Linked DNA regions of Tribolium castaneum. The protein of the gene in region 2 purifies or fractionates together with the protein of the main gene of each other region. This does not show direct contact. Links are inferred from orthologs where the notes say so. Each region holds a gene or a part of one and is shown on either strand. Other genes may lie near its edges.

Region 1 (3,926 bases), on a different chromosome or scaffold from region 2:
AAAATTTGGCGGTTTAAAAAAAATCCGTGCGACTTGTAGTTTATGAGTTTTGTCACTTATTGTCCTTCAAAATTTTTAAAAAATTGGTAAAAATTAATATAATTATTTTTTTCACACACTCAAAAATTTTAGACTCAAAATAATTTTTATTAAAAAAATTAATTAAGCTTCTCTTTAAACGAAACTATAACTAGAATCGTTATCCAGTTTTTATCATTCGCTTGATGGTAATTTAATTTAAGTCTTAACTGGACAATGATTAGCGTAACCCAATGTAAAAAAATCTGAGCATTTAATTGCGAAGTAAATTAATTTATTCACTGCTAGAAACTGGCGCTAGGGCTGCAACCAACAATACACACGACATGTGCAGACTGCGGGGAGGTTTTTTCGGTTGCATTTTTCTCATTTTTTTAAAGGTGGTGTGGAACATTTAAAGACAGAGTAATACCAGGAGTTTATGAAACAGTTTCTTAGGAGTTACTCTGTTGGCAAAAGGAAAATCTTTGCCTCCTGAATAGGTACGAGTACACTTATGTAAAATATTGTTAATGTGTTATGAGAAAATAAAACAAGCAATAAAAAATTCTAAGTATTTTATTTACATCAAGAAGTACATAACTAGTGAAAAATATTCCAAGTAAGTAATAAGATAATTTACATCTGCTGGGTAGAATTACCGTTCCAGGTATTATTCTCATCATCACTATCGTTTTTATTGGACAAACGATGAATATTCCCCTGCCTTCTAATCACTGTTGTTTCGCCACCCCTTCGAACTTTTGGTTGCCCCCTAAAACAATTCCTCAATAGTACAGGCAGATTTTTTTAGGCCCTAGATTAAGATTGCAATAAAAATATAACTCAGGATAACATAAGTAAAAAAAATGGCAGCAAGCCATGTTTTTTTGACGTATGACATCCACAGCCTTCTTGATGAGTAACTTGAAGAATAGTAAAAATTGTTAACTTCAGTTATAAATCTTAAGAAGAATAACAAACCTGTGATCACTAGATGACGCTTCAGCGGCTCGCTTATTATCGTTGCTAGTAGATGGCGCAGGAGCCGATCCAAACACAAAAGTCTTCAAATAACCCAAAAGAGTCAAAATCGGGGTAATCAAAGTCCACAAAAATCCTGTAAACCCTCCTTCTGTGTTAGTAGCAACGACTCCCCTATTAACCGGCAAGATCAAAATAACAGCAGTTGGAACAAGCCCCAGTTGCAACAACGTTTGACTATTCTCAGCTTCAGTAAATTCTCTTCGAGGGAAAGTTGTGGAAAGTGTGTAATTGCTAAACGGTAGATGCAAATTAGCTTTAATGTGAGCATGGACACTTGCTAGCGTGTCACTGCTCGAAAAATCGTTCGTTGCCGTGCTGCCATCTGGCATTCGGAATTGCAATCTGGCTGTGTTTGTGTTGACAGGTCTTGGAGATGACTGCGATTGCGATGAGTGAGCTTGTGGTTGAACTGTGGCTGTTGGAGAGAATTTTGCCGCTCTTTCAGCCTTGTCTTGAGCGATTTGAGCCAAGACTCGTTCACGAGCCGCCTGACTTTCGCGCTTTTCTCTTTCACGTTCTTCAAGGACTTGCTTCAGCTCTTGGTCCTCCTGCCAACGTTTCAACTGTTGCACGTTTTGGCCCATTTTACGACGCTCAAGCTCCTTCTCGCGCTCTTTCTGCAAGATGTTACGCCATTATTTCACTGAGGATTTTGAAGTTACAAGTGTCAAATGGACTTCAATTTTGACAAATTAAGACCAATCAATAGTTTTCGAGAAAATTGCAAATAAAAGCAAAAATTGGTCAAATTTTGAAAAATTCATAACTTAAAAACTACTGGGAATTTGGCGATTTTCTTGACACCAATCGATTCTCCGGATCATTTTACATGAGACAGAACCAAAATATTGTTGTTTTCGTAGCTGAGTTATGAAAACATCGTTTGTTTTATGAAATGTTGCCAACTTAAATTCAGCCACACATTACCTCAAACTCCTCCTTTCTTTTCTCTTCTCGCTTCAGTTCAACCAACTGCTTGGCCCTTTCAACCTTTTCTTCAACTGTTAAATCCTCTTTTCCTGCCACAGCTTGCTGACTGGTTGAAGGCGTTTCGTCTTTTTTCATGGTGCAAACGTCGTTTTCGCACACAACATTTTGCGCCTGTTCTTTGGTGATAAAATCTTGTGATTGTGAAGCAATCGGAGAAAGTCCGCCTTTTTGCAGAATCGAGTTGAGTTTTTCTTGAAAAGTTTTAACATCATTTACTTCAGTCACAATCTCAATAGGCACTCCTTGCTTCCCAATAAAATAAACCGAAGGGGTTGGAACTTGCTTATCTGACTGAGTTAGGGACAAATCAATTAAAAGTATCAACAAAACTTGGATACTACAAAAAAAGGATACAAATTTGACTAAACTGCTGATAAGGTACAGAGTCGGCTTCGATCTTGATTGCCACAAAGCTATCGCTTCCTAATATTTTAACGATTTCCTCCTTGTCGATTAATTCGGTTATTTGCGCTGACTTATCGTCTTTGCCTAAAAACGGGCGAAAAACGACATGGAGAGGTTAGATAACGTTTGCGTTTCTTACCGTAAACGTAAACTACGAATATTGCCTGTTTGGCTTTCGAAGTGACGATTGCTTGGGCGATTTCACCTTTAAACCAGTTCATTTCGATTAAAACTATTTTTTTTTAATAAAAAATGAGTGTTTGTGACAACTGACGTGTTACATTGACAACTGTCATGTGGCGCTAGGTGCATAGAATATGCTAGGTGTCACAAGCAACGCGCCAAAGTTAAATTTTACGAACAGATTTGGACAGAAAATGTGGCGCTAATTAGCTAAACATCTATGGGGTGTTCAGTGCTATAACGGAAAAAGTCCAGTTTTAGTCATTTTGAAAAACGTAAATTTTTGAAACCACCTCTAAAGTGGCCGAAATAGCAAATAAACAGGCAAAATGCTCTTAAAACTTTATTTTGGGTCGGGTATTGAAAACTGTTCTTTATTAGTCTAACGGAAACCATGGTACAAGGTACCGCAGACATTTGTATCCCGAAAATGCACTCTTCAGTGGTGTTTCCTTCTCAACGGTGCACATCATGACGACTTTATCCACTAATTCGTCACTGTGCACAGATTGTCTAAGCCTTTCCTTTAAAAGATTACTATTAAAAGTGCCTTTGTCTGTCATTAAATTCGTTTTGGTGAGAATGCAATGAGCCATTTTTGCTATTTCAGAATCTTTGATTCTTTGTCCACCTAGCGCAACACAATTTGCTGTATCAGGATTTTGCCCTTCATTTTCAAGAGCAGTGAGTGTCTAAAACAATAAATTTTAACTAAGATTAATAACGAAACAACGATTTTCTTACCGGGATTAGAACGACGACGGTTATTAAACAATAAATTTGTTTCATCGCGGTTTACAATAAATAAGCGGAACAGCCCGTCCGTAGCTTTTAAATATTCAAGTTGGTAAAATTAGCACTTTTATACTGGCCATTACAGATTGCAATCAAGATTGCAGCAAATAAATATGGGATATTATTATTTAACTGAATAGCGATAGAGTCACAAATGACTTATTAACTAGGAAAACTATAGTTTTTTATATGCAATAACAGGTTCAATAAAAATTTAAAACAAGATGTTTCAATGTTCCAGCTTAGACTCGCACAATTTGCCAAAAAAATCTTCGTGGTAGGAATTACATTAAAGTTAATTAAAAATGAAAAAAAAACAAATTAAAAAGTGCTATTAAACAACTATCCTGGCCAGATAATTTGTAATATTTAATATACAATGTGTTCAAAAATGGTTGTTCATCAAGTCGACTATGGAATTCAAACTCAATGTGCCGCTTCATTCACAATACAATCCAACCCTTCACATAAAAATTATAGAGCGTATT
Region 2 (3,926 bases):
TTTAACGTTCAAATCGAATGAGAAAATAAATCTTATATTTTTAAAACTTGGTCATGTCAGATATTTCCTTTTAAGTTTTACGTTTAACACGACCACATTTTTTGGAAAACTGTAAAACATAGACGGATTTCTATAACTTCAGTGTTGCTCCTGTAATTTCCCACCACAAAAATTTGCAGAAAAGCAACAATGATTTTATAAAAGCATTTAATTATGAACTTAATTTGTAAAAAGACTTAGAGCCGGTTTACAGAACATTTTAACTGTAATTAAATTTTAGTCGCGCATAACTCAACATTTGTCAATGCTTAAAATGCAAAAAAACTATGGCAAATTAATTTGAATTAGTTTAATTTTGAATTAAATCTTAATTTTGCTTTCTGTAAACCGACCCTTAATTTTTGACTTGGTCACTTTTAGCAGTAAGTCCAGGATATACTCGTATGTAGTATAAATAGAAAAAGTGTCATTTAAAAATAAAATAAATAGAAGACAATTTTTTGAGATATTTTATTCGGTTTGTATATGATACCTACTGTATTTTTTATGCTATTTGAACGATTTTTCATAAAAACATTAAAGGCCGGAACAAATATTTAAAACGCGATATTAAACTGACCTGTGAGGAAATTATGAATAAAATAAATTTAGAAATAAAACTTATTTCTCTAAAAAAAAAGTTACCACAAAAATTTCACATTAGGAAATAAACTTTTCAACGTCAAAATCACAAAAAGAATATTAATGAAAAAGAGTGCATTGTTGACATTATAAATAGTACATCGTTTTGACATTAACAAAAAGATATTTTAATGGAAATGTCAATATTCTACAAATTATTTGAAGGGCAATTTATCCTTTTGTCTCAGGTGACACGTATCTAAATCTAGCTTTCTTTAAAGTTGCAAAAAAGTTAAACCACAATAATTAGTTATTAACTATTAGAAAAGACCAAATTTTCAAGTAGAAAATTTGTCTATTGTCATATTATCAAACATTTTAAAACAATTTCAAATAATGTCTAGTTCCATTTTTTTAATATGCATTTAACCTTGTTTAGTTTTTTATCAAACATTTAAGACATAATAATAAATTTAAAAAATTACTCACATGATTTAAGCGCACCAACTTATCCACAGTGACTTGATAACCCAAATTAACAGCTTTATGTGCAAAATAAAAACACTCTGTTACAAAATTATACTTTTCAGCAGTTAGCAACTTTCCTTCATCATCTGAATCATTCGGTATTAGACATGTTTCCGTATTCATGCCAGGCAAATGGACACCCTTTTCACAACATTGATCATCCTTAAACAAATCAATTAAAACAATTTTCAAACCATTTAAACAACTTACAGGAACAGAACAGTAGGTCGGATCCACTTTCAGTATTTTTTTATCCTTGAAATTATTACAAAACGGTCGGCACAACCTTAACATTACGTTCCCAAAATTGATCATAAAACCATCAGACACACTTGTATAATTGACAAGATTTAACTCAGGCGGTGATTGGGCGCTCCATAACTTTCCACGATCAATGTTAGCTTTGATACAAAGTCCTAGCCATTCCAGGGTTTTATTTTTAATTTGTGGACTGCAAGTTAGTAAACTTAGGACAAAAGCGTGCGTGTGTTCGGTTAGTTTATCGACGTTGCTCCAGAGAATTCCTTCAGCCGACAAGATGCTAGCCTTAAACATTACAGTATAATGTAAAATAATTATCAAAATTATTTATGAATTAATACTTGATCAGTAGGGTCCTGGAAGTGCTCATAAATCGCATTCGGTGTTTTGGGCAAGATTGAAACGTTGAAAATGGCCCCTAACGGGGTGTTCGCATAGTCTGAACCAGCACTAAACTTTACAGGTTTTACATCAAGAAAAATACTGGCGAGATATTCCTCAGTTGTAAAAACATTCAAAACATTGAAAATTCCATAGTCAAAAGTGACGATATTTGATTTAATTATGTCATCGGTTAACACCAGTAAAATTTGCCCCAATTTATCCTTAAGAAAAGCCTCACCTGAAACAATTTGTGAACTAAAAAATTTTGGTGATTTGCTTCAAGATACCTCCTTCTTCCTCATCCAGAACTCCCTTACATACATCTTTGAAAAAAAGCATACCGTTATCAGTGTTATCTTTAAGAATATCAATCAATTGCTGCTCTAGTTTTTGGCCTTCGTAGATTTCCGACTGTATGAGGGCCGTTACAGCGTTTTGAATAATCAACGACTTAACTTTGGCCTTTTCTCCACTCTCAAGGTTCGTGTCATCGCTCAAATTCCTGAAGCAATTGCACAGATAAGTGAGCACGTTCGATTCAAACGAATGCGTGTTCCTGAAGTTCTGTTTGGCAGTTTTTATGAACGGATTCTCTTCGTTACACATAAACAGGCGATCAAATAGGGCATGTTGGAGGATCAAGAGGTCAAGATCATTCCGGCTGAAAGTGTTTGCAACTTCCTCCAGCAACAAGAAGTGTTTCTTCTCGCTAACTTTCGGGTCTAAAGTAAATGCAAATATCTCTTCGAGGATGCTGCTGATGTTTTTAACATGTCCTTGTTTCGTGTTTGTTGAATCGTTCGATTTATTCGTGGATTCTTCTATTAGGGCAGCGAACGGGTTGAAGTCTGACATCGTGACACACAATTCGGCGAAATTACTATGAATGTTATTTTTTAAAACGCATTTTTTATGTTGTTAAAAAATTGCAGATCACATCCACGTTTGACATTTCGTGACACTTGAAAACCCTGAAAATCCAATGTCGGTGAAGACAGCAACCATGAACATTACAGTCGACCAGACAATTTCCCCACCATTCACGTTTTCTACAGCCAAGTTCACACCAGGAAAATTATAAAAATAATCGTAAATTATTATAAAAACATCAATAAGCTGTTACTCTGATTTGCATATCACATTTGTAAAACATCTCCTGACCATTCTAATGTGTTTCTCTTACAAATTGAAACAACTTAACTGTATTTAATTTCTGCATTTTTTATTCTCATATTCAGGCAATGCAAACTGTTTTTTTTTTCACCCCCTTTATATCCTGCAACTTTCTTTATTTTTGCAGGAGATTAAGCACTTCGATAGGGCCTTCGACTGTAAAAAATCATGTTCGGACAAACACCCCTTGGAACCTTAATGAATTTTTAGACATTCTTTAAAATTTCCCGATTTCGCAAACTTTATTTTTAAAAATTCATTACAGTATTCAGAATGGCCCCCGAAGGGCGAATCAGTTATTACAGGAAAGGAGGAAAATAGTAAAAATAATGAATAAGAATTTTGCAAAATGCTTTTATAGAAAAGTTGTTGTACTTTATGTTTTATTACTTGGTAAACTTAACACACGTTAACACGCCCTTTTTCATAAAAATGTTTTATACAAGAAGTTCATTTTTGCCCTATATACATTTCAATAAATCTCACTGAAGTTTATGTCGTTAACTCAAGGTAAATTTGTCTGCCCTTAAACATATTCAATAATAACTAATAACGGTTTAAAGAAGCAGAAACGGACACAAAATCTATAAATGTGAAAATTTTGCATTTCCAGTTGATAACATAACCCTACTTTTAAAACCGAATTTTCTGGAGACTTAAAACTAACACAATTTGTGGCGTTACCACTAATTTTCGCACCAAAATTTCACATCATCAGCTCGTTTGCACAAATAAAAGGAGGAAAATAGTGAAAATAATGAATAAGAGTTTTGCAAAATGCTTTTATAGAAAAGTTGTTGTACTTTATGTTTTATTATGTAGTAAACTTAATACACATTAACACCCCCTTTATTAACGATTAAACGCCCTTTTTCATCAAAATGTTCAACACGAAAAGTTAATTTTTGCCCTTTATACATTTCAATAAATCACACTGAAGTTTATGTCGTTGACTCAAA

The links.
Region 1: the proteins of Ube4A (region 2) and UBX domain-containing protein 4 purify together in Homo sapiens (affinity purification with mass spectrometry; 3 studies listed by BioGRID and IntAct, counting the BioPlex papers as one, with this or other methods). This does not show direct contact. The link is inferred for Tribolium castaneum from reciprocal best matches to the Homo sapiens genes UBE4A and UBXN4.

What each region holds. Positions count from the first base shown.
Region 1 is NC_087396.1:24,044,189-24,048,114, reverse strand, and holds UBX domain-containing protein 4, read right to left. Parts: upstream 2,772-3,926; 5' UTR 2,682-2,771; coding exon 2,600-2,681; intron 2,545-2,599; coding exon 2,410-2,544; intron 2,343-2,409; coding exon 1,993-2,342; intron 1,683-1,992; coding exon 1,003-1,682; intron 794-1,002; coding exon 658-793; 3' UTR 580-657; downstream 1-579. UniProt on the Homo sapiens protein: Involved in endoplasmic reticulum-associated protein degradation (ERAD). Acts as a platform to recruit both UBQLN1 and VCP to the ER during ERAD.
Region 2 is NC_087394.1:12,121,456-12,125,381, reverse strand, and holds the start of Ube4A (ubiquitin conjugation factor E4 A), read right to left. Parts: upstream 2,777-3,926; 5' UTR 2,650-2,776; coding exon 2,082-2,649; intron 2,033-2,081; coding exon 1,752-2,032; intron 1,696-1,751; coding exon 1,360-1,695; intron 1,312-1,359; coding exon 1,111-1,311; intron 1-1,110.